3 linked regions of the Tribolium castaneum genome follow. The main gene of each other region encodes a partner of the protein of the gene in region 3 in a complex. Links are inferred from orthologs where the notes say so. Each region holds a gene or a part of one and is shown on either strand. Other genes may lie near its edges.

Region 1 (4,282 bases), on a different chromosome or scaffold from region 3:
TTTTGTACATACTTTATGAAGAAAGCTGTGAATTATTTGAATAAGTTTATTAAGCATTCCATGTGTTTTACTTTATCCAGAAATATCAAAAAACGTGCCTGTATTATTTAATATATACACTGTGTAAATTTCTCATAAGTTACTCTCGTGTGTAGTTTTTGATATATTTGTAATTACTTTTTTTTAAGACAATCAAGAGGTAAAGTGTGCGTTTGTTTCTTCCACCATATATACATGTCTGTAAAATATACTATATTTATTACTTTTTACTGTAATATTATCTCGTAAGCTGTTGTACAATTTACAATTGTAACTTTGTGTTTGATAAGTGCAGGGTGTTTGGAAAAACACGTGCAAGTATTAAATACAAGTATTTTCATCTTTGTCTACTTCTGCATACATATTATATACATGTGAAATACGATATTCAATGTAATAAATTGTTTAAACGCCTGACTAAAACTTCTTCAAACACTGCATAACGATACTGCGCAGCTTTGTCCTCAAAGTTTCGTCACCAGTGCACACCACGTGCGTACTATTGTCTTCCAACTGAATCAACGCGTCTTCCTCTTGCTTCAAAAAATCATAAAATAAATAATTAAACCGGTAAGTATGAACTTACCAAATGTATAACAACGACATTCCCATGCGACTCCACCTTCGGCTCACTAATCCCCTCCTGACTCAACTTTTGCAAAAAATCAGTCACATTCAAACTCCCCCACTCATACTTGACGTGTTTACTCGCCTTATTCACACTGGACGACAAATCCTTAAAAAATACCTACCAACTTTTTCCTTTATCATTTTTCTCACCTGTATGCTGTGCACGTTGTCTTTAATACTCAAAGTCCCCGTAATACTCGATAAACTAATCCCAGGCTTCACTTCCACCGGCACAATTTTTTGAGCAACTCCGGTTTCAATAAAAATCTGACTATGTTTCCGCTTCAAAGGCAAGTTAATCACTTCGCCCCATTTGTACGGAATTAATGTACGGTCGTGATTATTTTCAATAACATAGTCGGTCAGGTTTGGGGCCGAAACTGGGGGCTGAGTGTAGCATTCAGGGACCACAAGTGTGTTCGGTTTTAAGTCCCTGATGAGTTTGTTGGCTTGGGTGAAATTGAGCGAAGTGTCGATGGCACAGTGAGCCACTTTCATTTGCAGGGGCTGGTACGGGGCTAAGGCTTCGGTGTAGTCGAAATCAGGCTCTGCAAAAAAATTTTATTAACAAAAAATTTTAAATGTAATTACCTGTAAAAACAATGCAGTTCCTTGGGTTATTGCCCCACAACTCGATAAAACGTACAACATCGCCAAATCTTAAGGAGGGGTGCCCACAAAAAACAACACAGGGCTAAAAATAATTCAACTATTTTTGGCTACTAAATTTTAAAAAAAACCTCCTGGAAATCCGTGCTGAACCCGTCCGAGTAAACATGTTTAAAATGCTTAAGTTTGTTGTTTTTGACCAAAAGTCCGTGCGGGAACGGCTCTTCGGTCACATACACCTTGTTCTGTTTAACCGACGAAAGCCACTCGGCTAAAATATTAGAGTAGGCTAGGCTAGTATCAGCCACTGGAGACACGAAAAACATGGGACAGTTCGAAACGCCCAAATCTTGCATTTTCACCGACAAGCACTCAAATAAATCGTAGACAACTCCCGTGGGATAGCACGGGATTAAAACATTGCCTCCCCCACGTAGCGTGAGCCCCACCACCACGCACAAAACGCCCAACATCGAGTCCGGGTTACTGATGGGGGTTTGTGTGAGGTCTGTCATGATCAAGACATCGGCGTTTTTGAGGGAGTGGTGGTCCATGGGGCGGGGGTGGGTGGTGAGGGTGCTTGAGCCGCTCAAATAGACGATCTTTTCGTGGTCGGAGGTGATGATCCAGTTGGAGGAGCCGAGGCAAAAGCCGGAGCTTGAAGGCATCACTTTCAAAGCCCCGTAAACGTCCTGGCAAATATTTAGTTATTTATTGTTGCGGAATGAATCAAAAATTACAATTTTCTCGTTGTAGCCCACCATCTGTATGCGCGATAAACTCGCATTGACGTCGTTCATGTTGTAGAGTTGTTTCCAGGATTTGGGCTTGAAGGAGTCGCTCAAAGGATAGGGTAATTTATGAATGAGATTTTTCCACTGGGTTGCGAAACTGGCTTTGGGGCACTGGTCAATGTAATTAACGAGTTCCTCGAGTAGTAGTCGTCCGATTTGGAGAGTGGGCTCAGTGGCGTACACCCTACCTTGGAACCCAGTCCCTTCTGTGATAAATGGCAGTGCCATCATGCACAAATAATTCGAAATTAAGATAACGTCGACTTGGGCAAAATCTATGAGTTTGTTTAAAGGGGGGCAAAATTCCGGCGGTGAGTCGACAAAAATGCGGTCCCCATTCTCTTTCAATTCCTGAAATTTTCAACTTATTTTGCTACTTTACTCGATTTTAACTCTATCTACTCCTTCCAAATCTGAATCAGAGACGTCGTTTGGCATCCAGTTTGGTAAGTTTGATAATTTACTCGAGGCAACAAATGATAAAGGGAGGAAATTTAATACTGATTGCATGGAAAGACCGCAGTCCAACATTAAAGTTATTTCCTTGAAGGTAAGGATGTGACATGGCTTGTTCGGGTCGTTACTCAAACAGTACTAAAACGAAACGTTATTTGAGTTAATCTGCATTAAAATAACTCACTAATTTCATTTTAAAACTGTTTATAACCTAAAACGCCGACAAAAAACGAACATAACCATAGAATAAGAGAGAGGAACATAACTACAACTGTCTTAAAAAAATAATTGATATGCAACCCACATTCCACAAGCGATTGGGGACAAAAAACTTCACTTTGGTCTCTTAATTAATTAATAATTACTTTTTAATCTTTTTATCAATCGATAAGCCTTAATATGTAAAAAGTCAGTCGCAAATTGGGAACTCCCACTAATTCATAGTCCGAATAAATAATTTTCGTTGACTCTATTTTCAAAATGTTCCTGTTATCACTTTTACTGAAAATGGGCAAAATTCTAGCAATTGTGCCCTCTAAATCAAAAAAACTCGTAGTTCCCACGCTAGTTTTACTCTTTCTTACACTAAACGTTGCCCTTGCTACATTTTACAAAAAATCTGATTACATGAGTCTCATTCACATCAAACTTGTGATTGCTGTTTTAATGGACGCAACTTTGTTTATCTTTAATTGTTTAATTATTGTTGTGGCATCGTTTTGGAGACGCAAAACGTGGCTTCGCCTTAACAATGAACTGGGAAAAATTTGTTTATTTGCTCCCAAAAATTACTACACGAGCTTTGTTCTAACTTTTTTTATTTTTTGGACTGTTAGTGTTTACGACGCGTTTGTATGGACTGACGTAATGGGATTGGAATTTTTCAAGCAATATGGGATTGAAATAATACAGTCATACATGTTGTTTTACTATCAGTATTTATTGTATGTTGTTCTTGATATAATACTTCAAGGTTACAAAAATGTAGGTGTTATATTGTCCAAAAAACACGACTGTCAAATATTAAAAATTAAAAAAACACTTCGATTGTTAAAAAATACAACCGAGCATTTTAATAAAGTGTTTGGATGGCCGTTCCTTCTAATAATCGTGTACACAAGTTTGCAGATTCTTAACTACTTTGATGACAGTTTTGAAAGCGGATTTTTGTATGAGAAAAATGAGTATGATGAGGTCATCATTTCTAACGTCTGTTTCCTAATAATGACCACGGTAAATAATTTTTTTCTTTATAAACATTCACAAAACATCGAGTTTTTTAGGGCGGCACCATCGTATTAATATGGTTGTGTGACTCAGTTTTAGTAGAGGCAGAAAAACTCACAATTTTGGCACAAAAATTACACAGGAAAACTGTAATAAGAAATTACCAAATTATTATTTCAGACATGACCGCTAATTTTCCAAAATTTTACGTGGGCCGATTTGTAGTCATAACCAGGTCAACAGTTTACCACATTTTTAGCATTATTTTTACATATTTAATTGTGATGATTCAGTTTAAAGAAAAACTAGTTGTCAACGCTATGTAATTTTTAAATAAAAGTGATGTAAACCATGTTTTAATAACTTTTGGTCCATTGACAAAAATGGTGGATGCGCCGGGAAAGTTAAACATTTATTTCTACTACAATAAATTGTTCAACGATTGAACCCATTTCCTGGAAAAAGGAGTTTTAAGGCCGCTTGTAAATTATCATTAATCCTCAGCGAACAACTTTTTTCCAAATCGG
Region 2 (4,081 bases), on a different chromosome or scaffold from region 3:
AACACAAAATTATTTTATACGAGGGTGGTTTAGAATTCGTGCGGCGGCATATAAGAGGGTCGTTTGGTTGTTTGAACTAATTTTTTCATTATACAAATTAAGAATAACGCAATTTCTCACTGATCCGTTTTCAAATTGTGCATATAAATTGCTTTTTTGATGTTAAGCGCTATTTAAGTGGCACCCAAAGTACGATTTAGTTTAAAACAAGTTTTAGAAAATTTTAAGTTGCACTTATTTTCGGTGCAATTCAATTTCAGAGCTTTATTTTATTTTAATTTTTATTCTTGGACACTCAAAATGTTTGGCATTTTTCAATACGAAACGTCAAATTATTTTTAACAGATTTAAAGCAATTTGTTGTATTCAACTCATTCTCACTCGTGGTTTAATAATCCACTCATGCCGATTTACACTCAAACTCGTTAAATAAATAACTATTAAGTCACTCCGCACTCTTTTTGACAGTGGGGGAATTTCTGATAGTCACCCCTAAAGTCGTACACAATAAATTGAAACAATTTCTTTTAAATTTTCGTGTATTGGGGGTAAATAAAACACCAAATCTCAACAAAAATAAATTATTGTCCCATTCGATTCAACAAATTCAATATATAACTGCCCAAATCCTCGTCCTGATTGGTCCACGAGACGTAGACGTTCTTTTGTTCGTCCTCATCGCCTTCAACCTTGACCAGAACCGACTCGATTGAAATCTCGCCTTCGGCGAACACCACCGGCCATTGTGGCAAATTCTCTTTAATGAAACCGTGTAATTTATGGGCCGTTGCTAACGCCGGCCCTGTATCATTCAAATGAACCGTTGACGAAAACCGAATTATATGCCTATTAATCCCAGCCTCCTTACACGCGTCGTCCACGTCCATCAAACACACATTGTTCTCCTTCATGACGAGCACTCCGTGCAGGGTGCGCCTCCGTTTGGGGTCCGGCGGCAAAGCGCTGAATTTCCTCGCTTCGGACTTGAGCAGCGGCAACGAAACATCGATTGGGATTTTGACCGGTGTTGAAATAACACAAGTCTCGCCATTGGCGGGGTTATAGCAGTTAATACTGAACTCTTGGAGGATTTTCTGCTTGAGAAACTCCATTTTCTCGGCCTCGCCGTGGACAAGCATAACGTTTCGAGGTTCGCAATGTTGGATCAGTTGCATGATGCCTTTGGCATCAGCATGTGCCGAGAAACTCATGTATTCAACGGACATTTTCACCTCCACGATTTGCTTATTTTCGAATTCGACTCGTTTCGCCCCATTCAGAATTTTATGGCCCACGGTGCCTTGGACACAAAAACCGGGCATTATGACCATGTTGTTCTCATTGGGGGCCCACTTTTTGAAGATTTGGAGGCTCAGCCCCGCGTGGAGCATCCCAGGTGTGGCGAAAACCACCATGGGGCCCGGATTATCAATATACGAACGGTCGAAAGGCTTGATGTGCTTGAAATCGAACATGTTACGTTGCACGAACGTTTTTCGGATTTTTTGATTCGTCCAAGTTATAAACATTTTGTAGTAGTTGTTCGCCTTTTCGGTGAGTCCTAGGGCAAAGTACACGGGGGCTTTGAGATTCATACGTTCCCAGTATGTCTCCAGAAGGATACAAAGTTCTTGGGCACGTCCTAATGCAAACACGGGGATTAGCACTTTGCCCCCACGGTCCATACACTCGTGGACTTTTTTCAAAAAGTCGCGTTCGCGACAACGTTTCGAATCTCGAATGGTAGTGGCGTATGTCGATTCGGAGATTAACAAATCGGGGCGACATTTATCAATCCAGGCAGCCCCCAGATGCCGGTCGGGGGTCATGTTGTAATCGCCGGTGTACACCACAGACTGGGCCCCCACGCGTATCCAGAACATGGCAGCCCCCAGGACATGTCCCGCATAATACGCTTTAATTTCAATCTCGTTGTCCACCATCAAAGACTGGTGTAAAGTCACAGCAATGACTTTCTTCATACAGTCTTTGATCATTTGGGACGTGAAAAAATTCTGGTCACCTTTTTTCTCAACTGAGACTTTTCGCATGTCTTCCAGGAGAATGGGGGCGATAGCTTTAGTGGGGTGAGTCATGTAGATGGGGCCTGAGTAACCCACCATTTCGGACATGTAGGGCAAAGCCCCGCAATGGTCCAGATGGAAATGGGAGATAATTACACAGTCGATGTAGGAGGTAAGGGGACCTTCTTGAGATATGTAGGAGAAGTCGGGGAAGCGGCGCTCGTCGTTGTACCCCATGTGCATGCCGCAGTCCAACATTATGTTTTTGCCCCCCATTGTGAGGAGGATGCAGCTGCGGCCCACGTCCTGGCCGGCCCCCAAAGGGGTTATCTTGATATCCGGCATTAGAGGGTTAAAAACACCAAAAAACTAAGCAGAGCATTTGAGGTTACGTTACGAGTAGGTCATTCAGTGGCGCAGGCAACGGATCTACCACAATTCATTTTTTACTTTTAACTCCAAAACATAATGTATTTATTAACTTATTCAACTGTACTTATTAGTGATAATAAAATTTTAATTGATTACAAAATTGTCTACAGTTTTTTCCACCCATTTTTTGTTTCATTTCAAGAATTAAACTAACGTCTGGTTCAATTGATCTACTATTAAATTCACTATCGACGTGAATTACTGGTTGCCTATGGCACTTTTTTGGAAAAACCAAAATTATATCTCAATTTCGATTAAGATTACCACATAGGTGGCAACTGCAGCAATCATCTAAAAGAAACCCTAAAAAAGTAAAAATCTTGTTGATTTTTACCAAATGCCCAAACGTCCAGTCTAGACTAAAAAAATCCATAGCCGTAAAGCGCACTTTGGTGTTGTAAAACCGAATGGAAATCAATTGAAGATAACGTACATTTCTGTCAAGTTTCCCTCTTTCCAAATACTTATTCCAAATATCGTGCAGATAGATTGCAGCTAAATTAGCCTGGAAACACTTTTAACGCAATCACTTGCCACAAATCTAACCGTTTACCGTATTTTGAGTCCTTGCAAATCCATCTATTACAAAACACAACCAAAAAAAATGCAAAACGCCAAACATGCAATTAAAACCGACATCTGTCCAAAAAGAAGGACTACCATGGACTAGAACATGCAGTGTGTAGTAACTACCATCAACCATGTACCCAAACCACATTCCCATCGCAGCCAATGTTGTGATTTCGAACAGTCTTGTGATTTTTTTGGTCAAATCGACCAAATTGTAATGAGAAAACGACAATTCTTGGACTCGTCGAATGTTCGTTTTAATATCCTCATCCTCTGTTTTGATTTGGTGGCGCAAATGGTGATTAATCGAACCAAATTTAGATGAAATAAAGTTGAGAATATCACACAAAAACATGTGATCAAAAATATTGATGAACAAAGGAATGAAGTAAAAAAAGGATAAATCAATCATAGAATTCGAAAACGGCACTAGTAAAATTAAGCCAACTATACCGGCGAAAAGCAAAATTTGTATGCAACTCAAGCGCGACTTTTCATTTGTTTGAAAAATTTCAATTTTGTCGGTTTGCTCAAGTAAAGTTTTGAGTCGCTTGCTCCTTTTGCGAAACATAACGAGTGATGTTAGCATTGATAAAACCGTTCCAACGGTTGATAGCAAGTCGAGGTAGTGGAATAGACCAGTGAATCCCAGAGTCATGTAATCGGAGGAAAATTTAACACTAGTATACAGAAAATACAGCTGCAAACAAACGTAAAGAACGGTGGGAGATATCTTTACGATTTTGTGTGAATTTTTGGGACAAAACTGGATGATTCCCAACGATCTGTACACAAATATCATGTAGTTTGGGAGTGTTTCAAACAAATACATTGTGATAAAGTAGGGGAACGTAACTTATTGATTCAAGTCTAGTTTATCCAACCACTCAAGTAAATTGTTCATAAATAACAACAATGCTGTATTGTTTCTATACCTTGTGAATTTTCTCCGCACTATCACATTTTCCGATTATAAAATTAACTTTTTTGAGTTAAATGATTCAAATATACTAGGTAACCATGTGCCAAATAAAAAACAAGTTATTATTATTAGA
Region 3 (4,384 bases):
TTTTAATATTTAATATATAGGGTGGCCCACTGAAACCAATACACCCAAATTTTTAACGTTTGGAGTCACTTAACTCAAAACGCTAAGACAGTGCGATTTTATATCCAAGGGGGACACTTAAATATTTACTTTGTGTTCGTACCACTTCAACCCCCAAAGAGGGGCTGCCTGTAATTATATATTTTTTTAATGGAAACAGGGGTTAATTATGATGTTATTTTAAAATCTATTAAAACCTCTTTACAATAGGGAAAGTGCGGGCAAGACGGGGTACTTAACGTTTGAAGCTCTATAAAATTTTTGTATTATTAATTATCCTTGGTAATTAGTTTTTTGTGATTAATAAGTTTTATTTGGAACCTTTATTAAATATAAAAGTGAAACAAAGTAGAAAAAGTCCTTGTGGGTAAGATGGGGTACCCCTAATTTCAATTTCACTGTTGCTCTCGATTGATGGTCTAATCTTAAAATCTTTTTCTTTTTGAACACTCTTTTTATCAACCCCAGATTTTTCAGTTTTCCTTTAGCTCTGTAATTTTTATTCTTTTGCTTATTTTCCAAACTTTGTTATGGTTTAAGGTTTTTTATGAAGAGAGGAGTTTTACATATTACTGTTACGAGCAAGGTCTCAGCCCGTCTTGCCCTCTTACGGCAAATTGTGTTAGAAAATTAACTTCCAAAAACTATGTTGTCATCTACAAATAAATAGATGTTAACCTGTTAGAAAAATCATTGACATATGAATAACCATAAAAGCAATTTGAAATTTTGTTATTAACAAAACAGACACGTACTAAAGAAAGTGAAAAAAATCATAAGAAAATCGCCAAAAACAGGTTTTTTTCATAAAACTCGCAAAAGGCATGGTGGTATCGTTCAATTAAAAATCTACAATTAAAAGCTGTCTTAACTGGGCTTCGCCACGTACAAAAAATGATTATTAGTCAATTAGTTTATTATTTAAAGCTCATACCCCGTCTTGCCCGCACTTCCACCAAGTGTTATTTTTTTTATTTGGTATAAGTTTTCTAAAAATTTCTTTTTTTTAATTACAGTTTATTTATTAAATTATTTATTTGAATGTTCTAAATGGCCATAATTTTTTTAGTCTTTATGAACCCCATAAATTGTAAAAATCGAGTCCAAACATCGAAAACTTGGGTGAACTGTCTTCACTGAACCATCCTGTATATTTTCTATTTGTTTTCCTTAGGAACAGTTTCATTCATTGTTCTTTTATTCCCAATGATGTCAAATTTAATTTACTATCTAATTTGTGAGCTTATTAAATTTTTTAAATACCATAATACACTAATTGGCACATAATTGATGATTTTTTTTAACAGATATCTGCTTAATGATCAAAGAAATTAAAAAAAAATTGATCTAAAGTTCTTTACCACTACCTAAAAGTCCACAACTGTATTATTACCAATAAGTCAAAAAAAAGTAGATAATTGTAGATAAAAATTATGACACTCGGCTTTGCCTCGTCATTTACCCATAAACTCGTCCTCCAAGCCGTGCACGAAGGCCCCACACGCCCCACTGCTCATCAAATTGATGCTGTCAGCGTCGAGGATTTCCCTGGGGGCGTCATCGGCCCATTTTTTCCCACTCGCCCATTCTCCACTCGTTACATTTTCCCAAGCCAACTCATGAGCCGTCCTTTTGCGCCTCATATTAGACATTAATTTTTTATCAAGAGTTTGGTTGAGAAATTTCGCACTGACTTGTTTCATCGTTCCCAATAGTTTAGCCGCCAAGGTTCGAACATGGATTGATAAATCAGAAATCGAGTTGCAAACTTTACCGAAAGCGTCGTCTATGAGACGGATTTCGTGTTCACTTCCCGGAAGTACAACCTCACTGAAATTTTTTCAATTAAATGTAAATAGAAGAGAGGGTTTAGGCTAAGCCTACTTTTCCGGAAACGTGTTGCCCAAAAGACACACTAACTTGAGAACGACTTGACGGACAATTTCGTAGTCGTCCTTTAAGGCATCGCAAACATCTATATAAATGTCCGGATTTATTTTAAAATTGCGCTCATGTAGGGTGATAATCGTCGAAAAAGCCTGACTACGCACCCTGGCGTCGTCGTGGTTAAAGTACGAACTAATCAAAACCATTAATTTCTCCGCCTCTGCCCCCGTACAAACCGGCGTATGCACGCCAATGATCTCTAGACATTTCCTCTTGACAGCATGACTGACATCTTTCAAGTAACTTTTCGCCACTTCTACCAGTTTCTGATGCAAAGCGATGACATTATCAGAGACCAGCTTCCCTAATTTAAGCACGGTATTCATCCCCTGAGCGATAACTTTATGTGAATGGTCATTTTTAAGCAACAAAATCGTCTCGTCAATAATGGACACAACATCAGCGTTGGGTAGATGCCCAATGTCGCACAAAAGTGACAAAATTTTTACTCTAACGGCCGACTCTGGCTCATTCTTAAAATGATCGCTCAGTTTTTTAACTGCTTCGGGAATATCTGAAGCCTCAAGCTCGAAAGTATCAGAGACACGAAGCAAAGTTCGTAGGGCTTCGCTACTGCTTTTGCAACCTTCAAGACAACTAATAAGTGCCAAAGACGAGTTCCCGGTGCCTGTGGAAGGCTTCTTGACAAGTTTGAGTTTTTTAATCGGTTGGAAAGGAACAGTTTCCTGGAATATGTAAACATAACCTCATTTTGGACAAAGGGAAATTTAGCCCATACCTGGATTGTTTGGGTGAATTCGGCCAAAGCGCGTTTTTTCAACACTGCAGCCATCGTGTTTATGTGGTAATTAACCGATTTTAGCGTTTTTTAAACATTTTATTTTGTGATTGTTGTCAAATGTCAAAAAGTTACGCAACCGCCACCTGGTGACAATTACATAAAATTTGGTTTTTTGATTTTTTTTATTTATGAGCGGTAAAGGTATTAATTTACCGCATTTGTCGGTTTCTGGCATTAATTCTAAATTATTGTTTTGTCCAATTAGGTAATTAATGCTATTTTGTTGTTGGACCGAATGACGGTTTGTTTGTGCCAATGGCGTATCGTTTGGGATGGGTTTGGGGGTCGGGTTAAACTCATTTGTTTTAAATAATGTTTATTTGTAATAAATTCACAATTATATAATAAAGTTATAAAATGTAAATATATGAATCTAGGTATAAAAATACTTTATAAAATCAATAATAAAGAGGAGATAAAATCTGATATAACTATACATAACGTAATCTGAGTATAAAACATGTTCTATGGCGAATATAAACAAAAAAGTTTATATAAAGTGTCTGGATGTACATATTTTTCGTACGTATATGTAGTCTATTTGAGTATTGTCTTTCAGAGAGAACACAGTTGGAAAAAAGTTGGCAGTTATGGGCCAAAGAAGCAAGCAAAAAAAACTAAATTGAATGAGATCCAAAATAGAACAAAAAACATAATAATAATATAAATCCCTTTACCATGGCAAACTGTCATAAATAAGAATTACGAACATTTACAAAAAACATCAACAAATACTGATTATAATACAAAAATTAGTAAACAAGAGCATTAAGTATGATCGATTTACAAAACAATTGTAACATTACGTAAACATTTATAACATAGACAACAATTGTAAGATGGTAAGGATTAGAAAATAACAAATGACGCGACTCGGTCGCATTTGTACTCACATTTGTAATGTGTACAACAAATTATACTATTTAATCAATATACAATAAACATTTTTATTTTACAAAGTGAGTATTATAAGGTAAAAAGGTCATATAATGCCTTGACATATGGTAAACTGAAGTTTTTTCTTCCTAATCACTAAGCGCTAGCATTAAACTAAAAGCATCTGAAACTAAATTAAATGCTTCGTTGAAGCACTGCGGAGTAACCTAGAGCAGAGTGGAACGATAATACTTTTAATTATTAGGAAAAAAACTGAACAGAAAAAACAAACAATTGTAGATTCCACACTGCGAGTAACAAAGAAACTAATCATACGATAAATAAATTAAAAAATTCTAAATTTTATCAAGTACGCGATAATACAGAAATGGCAAGAAATTTTAGGCAGATTCGATAAAAAATAAATACACAAAAATTCCGATCTCTTTTGAAAATAAATTTCACATAATCACAGCACATGAGTACAATATAATAAAAAAATTAACAAAACAAAACAATGCTAGGAACAAAACTTGGCAAAGTAGCATCAAAAATGTGTTTTCGTTGCTGTTCATCGAGAGAAATTTGTGCGTTGGCGGAATGTCGCCGGCCGACGAATAAATAAATAAATAATTTAGGTACGAATGTGGACCATTCCGCCGCCCCCAGCAAGCTACCTCGACTTGGCCTTGGCGGCGGCGACGTTCCCCGCCGCCGCCG

Evidence for each region.
Region 1: the proteins of IntS4 (region 3) and IntS9 are in contact, whole or in part, in a cryo-EM structure (PDB 7SN8), measured with the Drosophila melanogaster proteins. The link is inferred for Tribolium castaneum from reciprocal best matches to the Drosophila melanogaster genes IntS4 and IntS9. Residues at the interface, in NP_572488.1 of Drosophila melanogaster: Arg105, Leu108, Val112, Thr115, Asp116, Asp147, Thr148, Ser149, Lys153, Glu156, Gln193, Met196, Arg200, His231, Lys234, Gln264, Asp265, Ser266, Arg269, Tyr302; in NP_648838.3 of Drosophila melanogaster: Arg2, Arg23, Met88, Lys90, Met91, Asp93, Glu96, Asp98, Arg173, Lys176, Asp203, Leu205, Gly206, Gly500, Glu501, Ile502, Arg504, Val544, Lys545, Asp546.
Region 2: the proteins of IntS4 (region 3) and IntS11 are in contact, whole or in part, in a cryo-EM structure (PDB 7SN8), measured with the Drosophila melanogaster proteins. The link is inferred for Tribolium castaneum from reciprocal best matches to the Drosophila melanogaster genes IntS4 and IntS11. Residues at the interface, in NP_572488.1 of Drosophila melanogaster: Arg226, Ser227, Gly228, Gln233, Lys256, Phe259, Tyr260, Asp262, Ser263, Gln264, Lys299, Asp300, Asp301, Cys349, Leu351, Lys380, Lys381, Ile437, Glu441, Glu443, Phe444, Leu445, Glu446, Arg448, Asp471, Phe472, Asp475, Asn478, Glu480, Ile481; in NP_651721.1 of Drosophila melanogaster: Thr182, Pro183, Arg185, Gly188, Ala189, Trp191, Ile192, Asp193, Lys194, Arg196, Ile210, Arg211, Asp212, Ser213, Lys214, Arg215, Arg258, Asn287, Gln288, Lys289, Lys292, Thr293, Met299, Gln400, Asn404, Asn469, Ala470, Pro472, Pro473, Pro475.

What each region holds. Positions count from the first base shown.
Region 1 is NC_087399.1:2,708,141-2,712,422, forward strand, and holds IntS9 (integrator complex subunit 9), read right to left. Parts: upstream 2,825-4,282; 5' UTR 2,722-2,824; coding exon 2,713-2,721; intron 2,667-2,712; coding exon 2,475-2,666; intron 2,424-2,474; coding exon 2,019-2,423; intron 1,971-2,018; coding exon 1,410-1,970; intron 1,364-1,409; coding exon 1,261-1,363; intron 1,218-1,260; coding exon 820-1,217; intron 776-819; coding exon 626-775; intron 577-625; coding exon 457-576; 3' UTR 359-456; downstream 1-358. Other genes in the region: E3 ubiquitin-protein ligase UHRF2, read right to left, coding at 4,191-4,282. UniProt on the Drosophila melanogaster protein: Component of the integrator complex, a multiprotein complex that terminates RNA polymerase II (Pol II) transcription in the promoter-proximal region of genes.
Region 2 is NC_087396.1:21,614,282-21,618,362, reverse strand, and holds IntS11 (integrator complex subunit 11), read right to left. Parts: upstream 2,501-4,081; 5' UTR 2,370-2,500; coding exon 582-2,369; 3' UTR 566-581; downstream 1-565. Other genes in the region: gustatory receptor Gr103, read right to left, coding at 2,701-2,961, 3,010-3,858; Gr101 (gustatory receptor), read left to right, coding at 4,047-4,081. UniProt on the Drosophila melanogaster protein: RNA endonuclease component of the integrator complex, a multiprotein complex that terminates RNA polymerase II (Pol II) transcription in the promoter-proximal region of genes.
Region 3 is NC_087398.1:12,615,981-12,620,364, reverse strand, and holds the start of IntS4 (integrator complex subunit 4), read right to left. Parts: upstream 2,867-4,384; 5' UTR 2,780-2,866; coding exon 2,726-2,779; intron 2,673-2,725; coding exon 1,924-2,672; intron 1,870-1,923; coding exon 1,502-1,869; intron 1-1,501. Other genes in the region: neurotrophin receptor-interacting factor 1, read right to left, coding at 4,338-4,384. UniProt on the Drosophila melanogaster protein: Component of the integrator complex, a multiprotein complex that terminates RNA polymerase II (Pol II) transcription in the promoter-proximal region of genes.